3 linked regions of the Caenorhabditis elegans genome follow. The protein of the gene in region 2 interacts with the protein of the main gene of each other region in a pairwise test. Each region holds a gene or a part of one and is shown on either strand. Other genes may lie near its edges.

The links.
Region 1: the proteins of syx-7 (region 2) and flwr-1 interact in a two-hybrid assay, tested with the Caenorhabditis elegans proteins (one large-scale study listed by BioGRID).
Region 3: the proteins of syx-7 (region 2) and F17E9.5 interact in a two-hybrid assay, tested with the Caenorhabditis elegans proteins (one large-scale study listed by BioGRID).

What each region holds. Positions count from the first base shown.
Region 1 is NC_003284.9:14,968,317-14,972,330, forward strand, and holds flwr-1 (Calcium channel flower), read right to left. Parts: upstream 1,956-4,014; 5' UTR 1,937-1,955; coding exon 1,866-1,936; intron 1,804-1,865; coding exon 1,684-1,803; intron 1,630-1,683; coding exon 1,504-1,629; intron 1,147-1,503; coding exon 963-1,146; 3' UTR 584-962; downstream 1-583. Other genes in the region: tbc-1 (TBC1 domain family member 23), read left to right, coding at 2,444-2,499, 2,550-2,625, 2,682-2,891, 2,957-3,114, 3,376-3,499, 3,545-3,630, 3,677-3,908.
Region 2 is NC_003279.8:9,001,321-9,005,772, reverse strand, and holds syx-7 (t-SNARE coiled-coil homology domain-containing protein), read left to right. Parts: upstream 1-1,809; 5' UTR 1,810-1,833; coding exon 1,834-1,909; intron 1,910-1,965; coding exon 1,966-2,045; intron 2,046-2,092; coding exon 2,093-2,170; intron 2,171-2,852; coding exon 2,853-3,143; intron 3,144-3,286; coding exon 3,287-3,382; intron 3,383-3,537; coding exon 3,538-3,663; 3' UTR 3,664-3,862; downstream 3,863-4,452. Other genes in the region: fcp-1 (RNA polymerase II subunit A C-terminal domain phosphatase), read left to right, coding at 1-174, 219-347, 616-771; F36F2.7 (uncharacterized protein), read left to right, coding at 4,193-4,276.
Region 3 is NC_003282.8:8,344,091-8,347,200, reverse strand, and holds F17E9.5 (DUF7087 domain-containing protein), read right to left. Parts: upstream 1,384-3,110; 5' UTR 1,319-1,383; coding exon 1,238-1,318; intron 1,105-1,237; coding exon 697-1,104; 3' UTR 655-696; downstream 1-654. Other genes in the region: F17E9.18 (Neuropeptide-Like Protein), read left to right, coding at 54-110, 161-310; lgc-5 (Neurotransmitter-gated ion-channel ligand-binding domain-containing protein), read right to left, coding at 2,716-2,868, 2,909-3,038, 3,083-3,110.

The sequences.
Region 1 (4,014 bases), on a different chromosome or scaffold from region 2:
TTGTTCATTCCGCATCTCTTACTGCTTTAACGTAAATAAAACTTTTGAATGTTAAAACAGATCATTTTTAGTTGTTGTAGGCCTTTTAATTTTAGTCCAGTCTTTACAAAAGGGAGGACAGCCTATTGCTCTAAACTATGTAATATGTTTCTTCCGTTTAATACATGAATTTTTTCAAATACGAGGTGTCCCTCAAAAACAACTTCTGGGTAGAGTAAAACTGACACAATATTTGTTATCAAATGTTATTACAGTGGGAGTACCAATTATGAGTTTTCCCCCATGAAAACGTTTTGAAAGATTTGTGAGAAGTTTGATTACGAAATTCGTTAATTTTAGCACACTTTGAGCAACATATACGTTCAAATTTACGTTCGAAATACCAAGAACCATTACTCTTCCACTGTAAAATCGAACACCTCTGTAGTGTCCCGAATAAAAACAAGAGCTCCAGTTTTTGCATGTGCTCTTGTTTTGCTTTGTGCTCGCTATCAGTCATAAGGCATCATACCATGTAGTTTCTAGTTGTGTGATATAGGCCCACGGAAAGTTTGTTTTTGTGCATACAACTTATTATTGTGTAATGAAAACTACGAACCAATTTATTGTAACTTCACAACAGATCGTATTCGGTGCACAACTCGGAAATGAAACGAGAGATTCTCTGCATACAAATGTATAAACAAAACGTTTTGTTCAGATAATTGGGAAGAGATAGTGAGAAAAAAGGAAACTATCAATAAATAAAAAAGAAGAAAAAAAATCAGATCCAAACTAGTTGGTCGTGGTCAAATTGCATAGGAAGATAAAACGCTTAAGTGAGAGGAGGGGGGAGAGTAAAGCAGATGAGGAAAGATGTATGAGAAATAAATACTTGAAAACATAAATATATAGTGAAAATGGACAGACAAAGTGAAAATTACTGGATGGGTTGAGGGCGGGAAGAAATGACTTTTAGGAATTTATGGAATGTTGGATTGGTTGACCTGTGGGCTCCACGCCGGATCTCCAGCGGCCATCATATTACTGCGGTCCGCCTTTTTGCCCAACGCCATGAATCCGTAAATAACACCCGAGGCGAAGATGGTTCCACTACCAAGGATAGTGTTGAGCTCGATGCACAGGAAGATTGGAATGAGTCCCATGCTGAAAATTGGTATTGTTACAAGGAAGTCAAGAAAGTATTAAACATTGTTGTTTGTGCCCCGCTACACGCCAAGAGAGTATGCTAATTTGTCTTCTAAGCCGACGCGATGTGCACTTGAAAAATGTGCCTCTTGTCACAAGACATCAAAATTTAAGGTTCTTCGGAATATTTTACTACATATTCTTTCATTATGGTCTAGGTCTATGAAATTTGAGAAGAGAAATCATGCGAATAATTTTTCAATTAATACTATCTTAATACTAATCTTATCAAATAGTTTTTTGAAAAAATCATAATTTGAATGACCTAGTAGAACTGTTCTCTCTATCTATCAAAAAAAAAGAGCTGTCACTCACGCTCCGTAGATAGCAGCCTTGTGCCAGAGAGCACGCGATTCGCTGAAACGGGCAATCTTCTCGATGAAGTCGACGAATTGGCAGCAGAATGGGGCCTCCAGCGCAATGACTAATGCTCCAGCTGTCCTGAAAAAATTACAGTTAAAAGGTTTACAGTTGATTCAGTTGTTTTTTCCTTACATTTGAAGAAGAATGGCCACCATGCATGTCGCCGAGAGAGTGATCAGGCCGAGGACTCCGAAGAATAGGGAGAGGAAACCTCCGAGGATGGCGACTCCTTTTGCCAGGAAGCGAACCCACCTGCAACGAATTATGAAATCATTTCTCGTTTTTTTTTCTTGGGAAATAATAGGCTGACTCACCATGGAAACGCGGCATTCGGATCGTGTTCCGCTTGCATTTGCGTGCTAACTCCAGACGCGGCAGCCCCCATGTCGACAGAGAACAATTACCTGCAACGTGAAAATGTGCTTATTGATTTTTCAATAGTAACTTTGAGAAAACCGTTGAGAATTGCTATTTTCACGCGATAAGCTTTGGATTTTTAATCAATAATAAGTTTCCCTTCTTGGACTAATCATATGATAACTGAAAAGGAAGTGAAACAGAAGCGGGAGCAAGAAAAGATAAATGAAATCAGAGAGGAGGTGGCAAAGTGCGGGCTCACCCGCTCTTGCATGCGGCCGAAATGACACGGAGAGCGGGAGACGCGCAGAAAACCAACGCAGCAATGAACCGTTAAACAGCACGCGGGCCGGAATAACGGACTCTCGTTGCATCTTTCATGTGATTAATTGTTTTCCCCAGTGACTTTGGCTGTTTTAATTGTTCCTTATTGAATACTTCGAGTTTTATTTTTTAATTTTCACATGAATTTATGGTTTTCAGTAATGAATTACAAAAACTTTTGGTTTAATATTGATTTTTACAGAGTCAAACAATGGGAGAAACGGGACCAACCAATAATACAAGTTTCAGTTCGCTTGATGATAATTGGTAAGTTATTTTCGTTACAGGTTGAGCATATTTTATGGAAATTCTTACAGGGAAACTGATGTTAATGTGCTGAGCAGTGAGCTCGGTGATTTGGACACTGAAGGAAATGATAAATCAGATTGGATGGTGAGTTTTTATTTTTTATTTTTTTCCCTGATTTTTGATAATTTGAACATTTTCAGCGCCTACTCGGAGTCTCGATGAAACCAAATCCATTGGATGACTGGGATCAGCTGTACAATTTGAATAATCAGTGCGCATTGCGAAATGATTGCCGGAAACTTGCCAACGGTTTGAAGAACAAGAGAAGTGTTCCCGAGTTGGAGTCATTTTTGACACTTTATTGCAAAAAGAGGGGGATGGATTATATCAAGGATATCGGATGGTTGACGGTGAGTTTCTTTTTTTCAAATTGCAAGAAGCAATCATTTTATAGAAGTTAAAATTATATTTCCAGATCCTCGAAAAGATCCTTCTTCTCAATGTTCCTGCCGCCCACGAGTTCAATGTTTTCTTTGCATTCACCACGAAATATATTCCTAAAGACACCCGACCAGATGCTCAGATTTTTGATTTATTCCGATTGCTATTACAGTACCATGATCCTCAGATTAGGTTGGATGATCGTAAAATCAAGCTACATAGCGAGAACTTCAAAAAAAAAAAATTAGCAAATCCCTAGGTTTTTCTTTTTAGTGATAAAATATATGCTTAAAAATGACAGGTTGCTGAGCAGAAACTTTTTGCGCGGAGCCCCCCTGAGGGTTTCATGCTTGAAACATGTATTATATGGAAACGGTTGTGCAAATTATTTAGTGAAAGCAAATTCAAACGGCTCAGGTTTTAGATTTTATAAATATAAGAAAATATTTTTAGTAACCATTTGGAATCACTTCACTGCTCGCCTTCAATGTACACGAAAAACTGGTTCGCAACTTTATTCTCCAGCAGTATGTCCACAGAATCGTGCCATGAACTTTGGAAGTTATATATTGAGCAGGTAGGAACTGTCCATAAAGTTTCTGAAACAAAAAAAAATTTTCAGGGTGATCCATTCCTTGTGTTCCATCTTGCCATTGTCTTCCTCATCAATGCAAAAGATGAAATTCTGCAAGTGAAACGAGATGAAAAGTTTGTCTAGCGTCATGTTTCGAAAAAATAACTCAACTATTTACAGAGAAAAAGCTGTGCAAATTTTGGAGAACATGGCTGCCCAGCTCAGTGTCGAAGATGTCCCTGACTTTTTCCAGTTGGCACTTCATTACTCTGACAAGACTCCAGAATGTATTCGCAAAGATTTTCACTACATAATTTTCGGTGCAAATTTTGATGAGGAAGTCAAAGAGATTCAAATGAATAAGATGTTGTGTCTGCCGATTCCAGCAATCGATTTAACATCTCATGATGAGGTAAATACCCCGAGTTATAAAAAAAAAGATTGTCAGGTACACTGCCTGGTGACGATCCTACTGGGCCATAATTTAAGCCATGTCCTAGAACCTAGGGGATGAGGCC
Region 2 (4,452 bases):
AAGGGAGATGAAAATTTAGAAGAGAAACAAGAGAAAAATGAAGAAGAAATGGATGATGTTGAGCAGAATGGATCTGTTGAGAATCAATCAGGAGATGCTTTGGAAAACGAGACAGATTCTACATCAAGGGGACAGAAAAGAAAGCATTGTCCTGAAATGGAGGACGAGGAAGAGGTAAGAAACTTGAAAATAATTTATTCCAATAATATTTATTTCAGGAATCAGATTCTGATAATGAGGATGACGATACCCCTATGTCGTACAAAGCACTTTTGTCAGATTCACGCAAAAAAGGTCGAATTGTTCCAGAAAACGAGGATGATGCAGTATTTGATGTTGATGATGAGGTAAAAAGGGCGGCAAGTATAAAAAATTGAAAATAAAACGGAAAGTTTTGAATTTATAGTGGCTAAAATTAATAGTAGTGAATTTTTTGAAAAAAGTTAAATTTTGGCTTCTTGAGCTTAAAAATATCAATCCAAATCGTTCCAGTGTCTAGAATTTATCGAAAAATACGACATTTTATCGATATTAAACAAAAATTCAAAGAAACACGTGAATCATTATTCCTGCTTGGGAGATCAAAAGTGTTTTGAAAAAAAAAGACTTTTACAGAAAGGCCACGCACCAGCTAATATAGATGAAGAAGAAGATGACGAAGACAATGAAGATGAGGAAGTACCGGAATCTGATGATGACGATGAGTTCGAGGATATGGCTGCATTGATCGAACGTCAGATTAGCGATGCAGTAGATGAAAAAGATCAATGAGTTTTCTGTGAAATCATCATGTGCTATTATTGTTTTCATTTCCTATTATTCTTTCAGTTGTTTCCCATCTTTTACATCTCATAATTATCACCCCCGTTCCCCATTTGATTCGATACTCAATGTTTTCTGTACTATTTACCTCCATTTAAATGGGAATAATCTGACAATTAATGTCGGCTGCTTGATCAGAGTGATTTTCATCAAATCAATCAAAACTTCACTAGAAGCCTGCATTTTTGTCATATATAAACGTTCACGGTTTGGAATATAGATTGCTTTTTATTCACTTATCTTTTGCCTTTTGATTGTAAATTCAAGAAAAGTCTGTCACTATGGAGTTATTCATCTTTCGATTGCTTACTTAAATACCTCTATTTTCATTTTATCGAATTAATTTTTTTTTCTAAATCGCGTCATTGTCTCATTTCTTCTCTCGTTTCACGTTGATCGTTATTATTTTTTTCTGAAAATGAATGAGATTCATTTCTATTTTTCTTGCTGACGCTTTCGCAATGCCGTTTGATTCGGAAGTATGATTTATTTTTTTCGAATTATAGGATTAATGTATAGTATTTGTTACGCGAGACCAAAAAAAGTTTCATGTAACAAATGTAGTACAATGTTTACATTTCCACAAAAATCAATAATTTACAATTTGTATACAATTCAATGTGGTCTTATATTACACAATCAATCGTTTCAACAACACGTTTTGCCGAACTGGATTTTTATCGATCTTTTACTATTTCCTTATTATTAAAAGTTATTAAAAGCTATATATTCGCAAAAAGTTTTGAAAAAAATTGGTAGAGTGATTAGCTATTGAAAAAACTTATTTCATTTCCTTTTAGTGACTAGTTTATTTACCATTGCAGTGAAAGTTTATGAAAAAAGTATTTACTTTTCTCTTTTGAAAAGAAATATTTTCTCGCATTTTTTGTCTATAGAGCATTTTTGCACACACGCGCACTAAGCGCCTTTTTTGTATGTATTTTCAGCGGTTTTTATCGATTTACTCATTGTCAAGAATCTTTTCAGTTTGAAGCCTATCTCAAAGCCAGAATGGATTTCAATCGAGATGCCGGCAATGAGACAGCCAGTCAGCTTCAACTCAATATTCAGAATTTAAATCAACAAGGTTTGCACGAAATTTTTTATTAAAAAAAACACGTTGTACACTAAATTTCGTTTCAGTTATTCAATTGGAATCCTTTATCACAAATCTATCAGATAGCAGTGAATCAGGACAAAGAGAACGGGAGCTTTTCAATCGCGTTAGTTATTACTCTCTATTAATTAATATTACATTAAAATATTTCAGAAAGCTCATAATGCTCAGGAACTCTCGAAGGAAACCAATGCCCTGCTGAAAAGATTAGTTGTGATGAGCAACTCTGATGTGAGTTTCAGTATAAATTTTTATATTAAACTTTGGTGAAGGCAAAATTTTTCAATGAATTTATATTTTAAAAAAATTATCCTAAGGTTTTAAAATTTTATAACATTCAAAAATAAATCATAAAATCACACGATTTTTGTTAAATAAAAAAAACTTAAAAAAATAATTTGAAATAATCTTATTATCAAAATATATAAACTGGCATGTGTAAAGTGGCTTATTTTTTATTTTGTTTTTTATTCAAGCTCCTCCCATTCCTGACCTTTCGTTAAAGTTTGTATTTATTAGTTCATTTTAAAAAAATGGGAGGAGCTTAAATAAAAAACAAAATAAAAAATAAGCCACGTTTCACATGACAGTTTATATATTTTGATAATAAGTGGCCTATTCAAGTAGTATCGGAAAATTAAAAAGTGTAGAAAATGACGTCACAACTATATTAAAATACATGTTTTTGTATGTATTTGATTACAGTTGTGGCGCCATTTGTCTACAATTTTCCGACTCTACTTGAATAACCTCATAAATCAATTTTTAAATCCGAAATTTAAATTTTCTGAAAATTGATTTCAAACTCATTTTGTATTGATATTCATATGAAAATAGGAAATACACGTTTGGGAGAGATGTCTTTGAAGGAATATTTTATTATAGTATTATCAACAACATTAAAATATTTCAGAAGAACTTACGAGGAGTCCGAGAGCGTCTTCAAAATGAGTATATCGGAGTGCTCAACCGCCTTCAAGCATCTCAACGAAAAGCTGCACAAACTGAAAAAGCTGGAATGGTTGCAGCAGAAATGGATGCTCAAGCGGCACGTGATGCTGCCGAATACGATATGTACGGAAATAATGGACGAAGTGGTGGACAGATGCAGATGACGGCACAGCAACAAGGAAATTTGCAAGATATGAAAGAACGACAAAATGCATTACAACAATTGGAACGAGATATTGGAGATGTTAATGCGGTAGGCTTTATTCAATTGAAGTTATAATGACCAATTTAAAAATTATTATTTTTTAATTTCTATTAATTTCATTAAAAGCGGTTAGAGGATGTGCCATACGAAAAATAACTCTTCAAGATTAAGTAACATTAATTAATTTTCAGATTTTCGCCGAACTCGCGAATATCGTACACGAACAAGGAGATATGGTGGATTCGATTGAGGCAAATGTGGAGCATGCACAGATTTACGTTGAACAGGTAAAAATTCGGAGAATCACAGAATTGTTCGAGAATGAAGCGATGAAAACGAAAATCTGCAAAAAAAACTTTAATTTATCTAAAAATATACACGTTTAGGTACTTTCAAAGTTGAAAAATAGTGGGTATTCCATTTTAATAAAAAATAAATTAAGGGTGCTCAAAATGTGCAACAAGCCGTCTACTACAATCAGAAAGCCCGTCAAAAGAAGCTTCTCCTTCTCTGTTTCTTTGTTATTCTTATCTTTATCATTGGATTAACCCTCTACCTGGCTAAGTAATAGGAGTGTCTCTGTTCTGTGAATATGCTTCCTGTCCTATATTTATTTGAAAAACATACTGAGAATCGAGCTTTTATTATAAGTCATGTGTTTGTATACAGTCTAACCTAAGTCTAAAATATGTTCAACTCCTCAATTGTACTAACTTCCCTCTCGTTGCTTTTTTTCGAATTTTTCTCAATAAAATGTATTGATTGAATATGACGTACTGCTTTGACGTTCTTTTCAGAGAAGAAGAATGATCGGGATCATTTGACCGATGAAATGATGATCGACCGGGAAAAAATGAAATAAAAAACTTATGCAAATCCGATCAGTGTGGCAAACACGGGTTCGGCTCTAAACACGTTTTTTCTCCTTTTCGGAAAAAACAGTGATTTCATTTTTTCAGCCAAACCTAACGGCCGATTGACGCACTTGTGAAATTCTGAATTCGCACTACCGCCGCTGCTGTATAAAACGAAAAGTTTTACGCAAATCTTCTCTTTTCTTTTACTCTCCAACTTACTGCAGAACATAGACCTTTAAAATGGCTGAAAGTATTATTGATTTTGTGCTCGTTGCTATTATTTTAGCCGCCTTAGCGGTAGCTACACTTATTTTATTGTTTATGGTGAGTTTTATGATATAATAAGTATAAAAAGCCAAGATTAATAAATACTTCGTTTTCTGAAAGTTGAATGCTAAAAAAGGCCGGGAAAGGGCTATTTGAAAACAGTGAAGCAGTGAGATGTGAGAGCTACAGTACTCCTTAAAGGCGCACATTCCTTTTCGAAGCTTTCATTTAAA
Region 3 (3,110 bases), on a different chromosome or scaffold from region 2:
GTTTTCATATAAATTTACCATTTTTCGGTGAAGTCCAAAAAGCGCATCTCATAATGCAACTGTTCACCGCCTGCATCTTCCTTGCTTTCGCCATTTTCTCGGTTTCCGCGGTAGGCTGATTTCAAACTTTCAAGCAAAAGAAACGTATAATACTTTACAGCAATTCATTCCAACTAATCAAATTCTACCATCACTGTTCAACCCAGCTAGAAGAGCTCCTCAGCCAAGTTCATTCAATTTCATCCCATCTGCAAATGCAAGACATACCATCTATCGTCCACCGACTCCACTTGGATGGGGAAGAAAATGAATGTTTCTCTTGTTGGAGTTGGAACTAATAATAAAGATTATTGAGCATTTAGAAAGTGTTTGAATTATTCCAGTTTGCGAGAATCCTTGAAATAACCCAGCGAAACGAACAGCAATCATACTAAAGTACTCCAATAACCCAGTATTTGCTCAAAAAGTTGATAGTTACGATAGTTTTTAAGTAATCACAGAAGCCTCTCTTCGGACTAACCACAACAAAATATTACTCTTACAACAAGATGCTCACTCTTCTGAAACTACAGTAGAAAAGAGCACTTAGTTTTTCCAGGTTTTTTGGCGACCGAGTCTAGCAGAATTTGCAGATTACATTCCTGATCAAAAAGAGCAAGTAAAAACTTTTATTTCAAAAACCCCCAAGTATTCTTTCTACTGTGCTGGTGGAGCTGCAACTGGATCCTGGGCTGGTGGTGCAGTGGCGGCTGGGTCTTGTGCTGGAGCTCCAGATTGTCCCTTCTTGAACTCATAAGCTTCAATTCCGAGTTGTCCAACAGCGGCGAGCACGTGGATGAGCACGAAAAGTGAGAAGAATGCATGCCCAGAAACACACAAGAAGACGAAGATACCAGCAAGAGCTGGGACAAGAACCAATGCGGCAGACTTTCCACGAACTTCATTGTCAGACGAGGTAAGAACCTTGTTGATCTCCTCGCGACCATCAATGTTGAGAGCAATGTTGTGCGATGAGACGGCAACTGCTCCACCGAGGAAGATGAAGTAGAATAGCTTGGCAAGGAAATTGCAATCGCCGAGGGAACCGAACAGAACCATCAGGAGCTGCAAATATTTCATGATGTTCTATACATTCTGGAAAACGGGCAAAAGACCAAGAGCCAGGACAAGTCTTTAGAGGCCAGCCCTTAAAAACCAGGACCAGTCCTCCGAGGACCACGAACGGCACAGAACGAACCTCAAATGAAGCACACACGATGACGGCACCACGAGCGTAGAGCACGTACTTATTGAACTCGTACGGTGGGATTTGATCCATTGCAGAGAAGTAGTCGAGTGAGTAGAGAATCGGTGATTCGAGCAGAGACTGATTTGAATTACACATTTTCCGATCTTTTATACGGACGGATCTAGGGCAGATTGACCGTGGAGATAAAGAAAGGTCGAGGTTGAAGCGGAGAAAAAACAACCTTTATAAAAAAGTTTCTGGATGTTTTTTGGAATTATTTTTGAAATAAAGTAAAACATCACGGTCATCGAAAAAGAAATTAAAGAATTTCTAGTTCATCCGTTTCATGTAATTAAACAAGCTTTTTTAGTCACTTGAGGGAAGCCTTGTTCAATTATGAATATACCGATAACCGCGTGTTTTTAGCCAGCTGAATGCTTTCTAGTTGGCCTGGAGAATATATATAGGCCAAATCCAATAACGTTTGCGGAAAAAAAACATTTGAGAAAACCAAAACCTAATTTACCCTAATTTATAAAACCATAATTTATTTTGAAGTTAGTTTGCTGCAGGTGCGATAGCTTTACCATCCCTCACTCTGACTGCTTGACTTTTTGCACACATTAGAAAAAAAGGGGGTTAGGGTAGCTTTACCAAGGCGGCAAAGACAAAAATTGACATACTTGGTAAGCACTGAGTGTCTCTGCGATGCTTATATCCAGCGAGATAGATAGAAACATTATACAAAATCAATAGAATAGTCTTGAACAATGTAGAAAACCTAATTTAAAAATGAATGAGACTGATTTCATAGCCACAATGACTGAAAATAGAAAGACTCTTCCATTTTCAAGCACTTGCAAGTTGCAGGTAAGCTTATGGTCTGTTGTCACGTGACACCTAAGTTTTAATTGCCAAAAATAAATTCACAAAGATTCATTTACTAGTTTAATGACAGTTTCGTAGACAGATAAAACCGATCCAGTTCACAAAGAACCTATTTTCAGAATTTAGATAATTTTCACTTTTTCGAATTTTTGAAAATTCCCCGAAATTTTTTTAAATTTTGCTTTTTTTATAATTCTTGCAGTAATAGTTATGTTTTGATCATTTTCATATTATAGTGAATTTTCAACTCAAACGAATCACTTTGAAACAAGTTATTGTCAAAAAACTAAAATTGGATAGAATTATGGCCGGCACTGTAGAAGGCCTAGGGACTCTTGAAAATTTGTCAACCCCGCAGAAAACAATACTCTAAAAAAGTCCAAACATTCCATGTTCTCGCGCAGGAAAGTTGTTAATATAAATTATTCTTCACTAAAACCGATCATTTGTTTTGAGGGTGCTTTAGAGACGTTTTAAATATTTTTTAATTTACTGTCAAACAAGTACCCAATTTTTGCCACTAGGACTATCTATCCCTATGAATTGATCAAATTTTTTAAACGGGTAAATATAAATTTATTGAAAGTTATTTTTGATTTTTATTTCCAATATACAATTGTTATTACAACATTGGCAACTTGAAACAGAATAAGACACATTAGATCAGTTTTATCCAGAATTTTGAGCCAGAGCAACTGATTTTCATTAATGCGAGACATTTCTTGCAGAGTGTCACGAACAAGAAACGCAGTCTAAAATATATCAATTAATGTTCAAATCATGGTGGTTTACCTTATGTAATGACGACTTCAGAAGAGAAACAGGCGCAATGATGTTCTCGGGAACATCCATACTGGATACAGAACTGGTTTTAGAAGGGAATTCTTCCCTCATACAATCACATAGTACGAGACATCGTAACCTATTAAAAAGTAGAGATAATTAATTAATTATTCATATATTCACCATTTTGGAGGGCACGTTGCATTTGTGT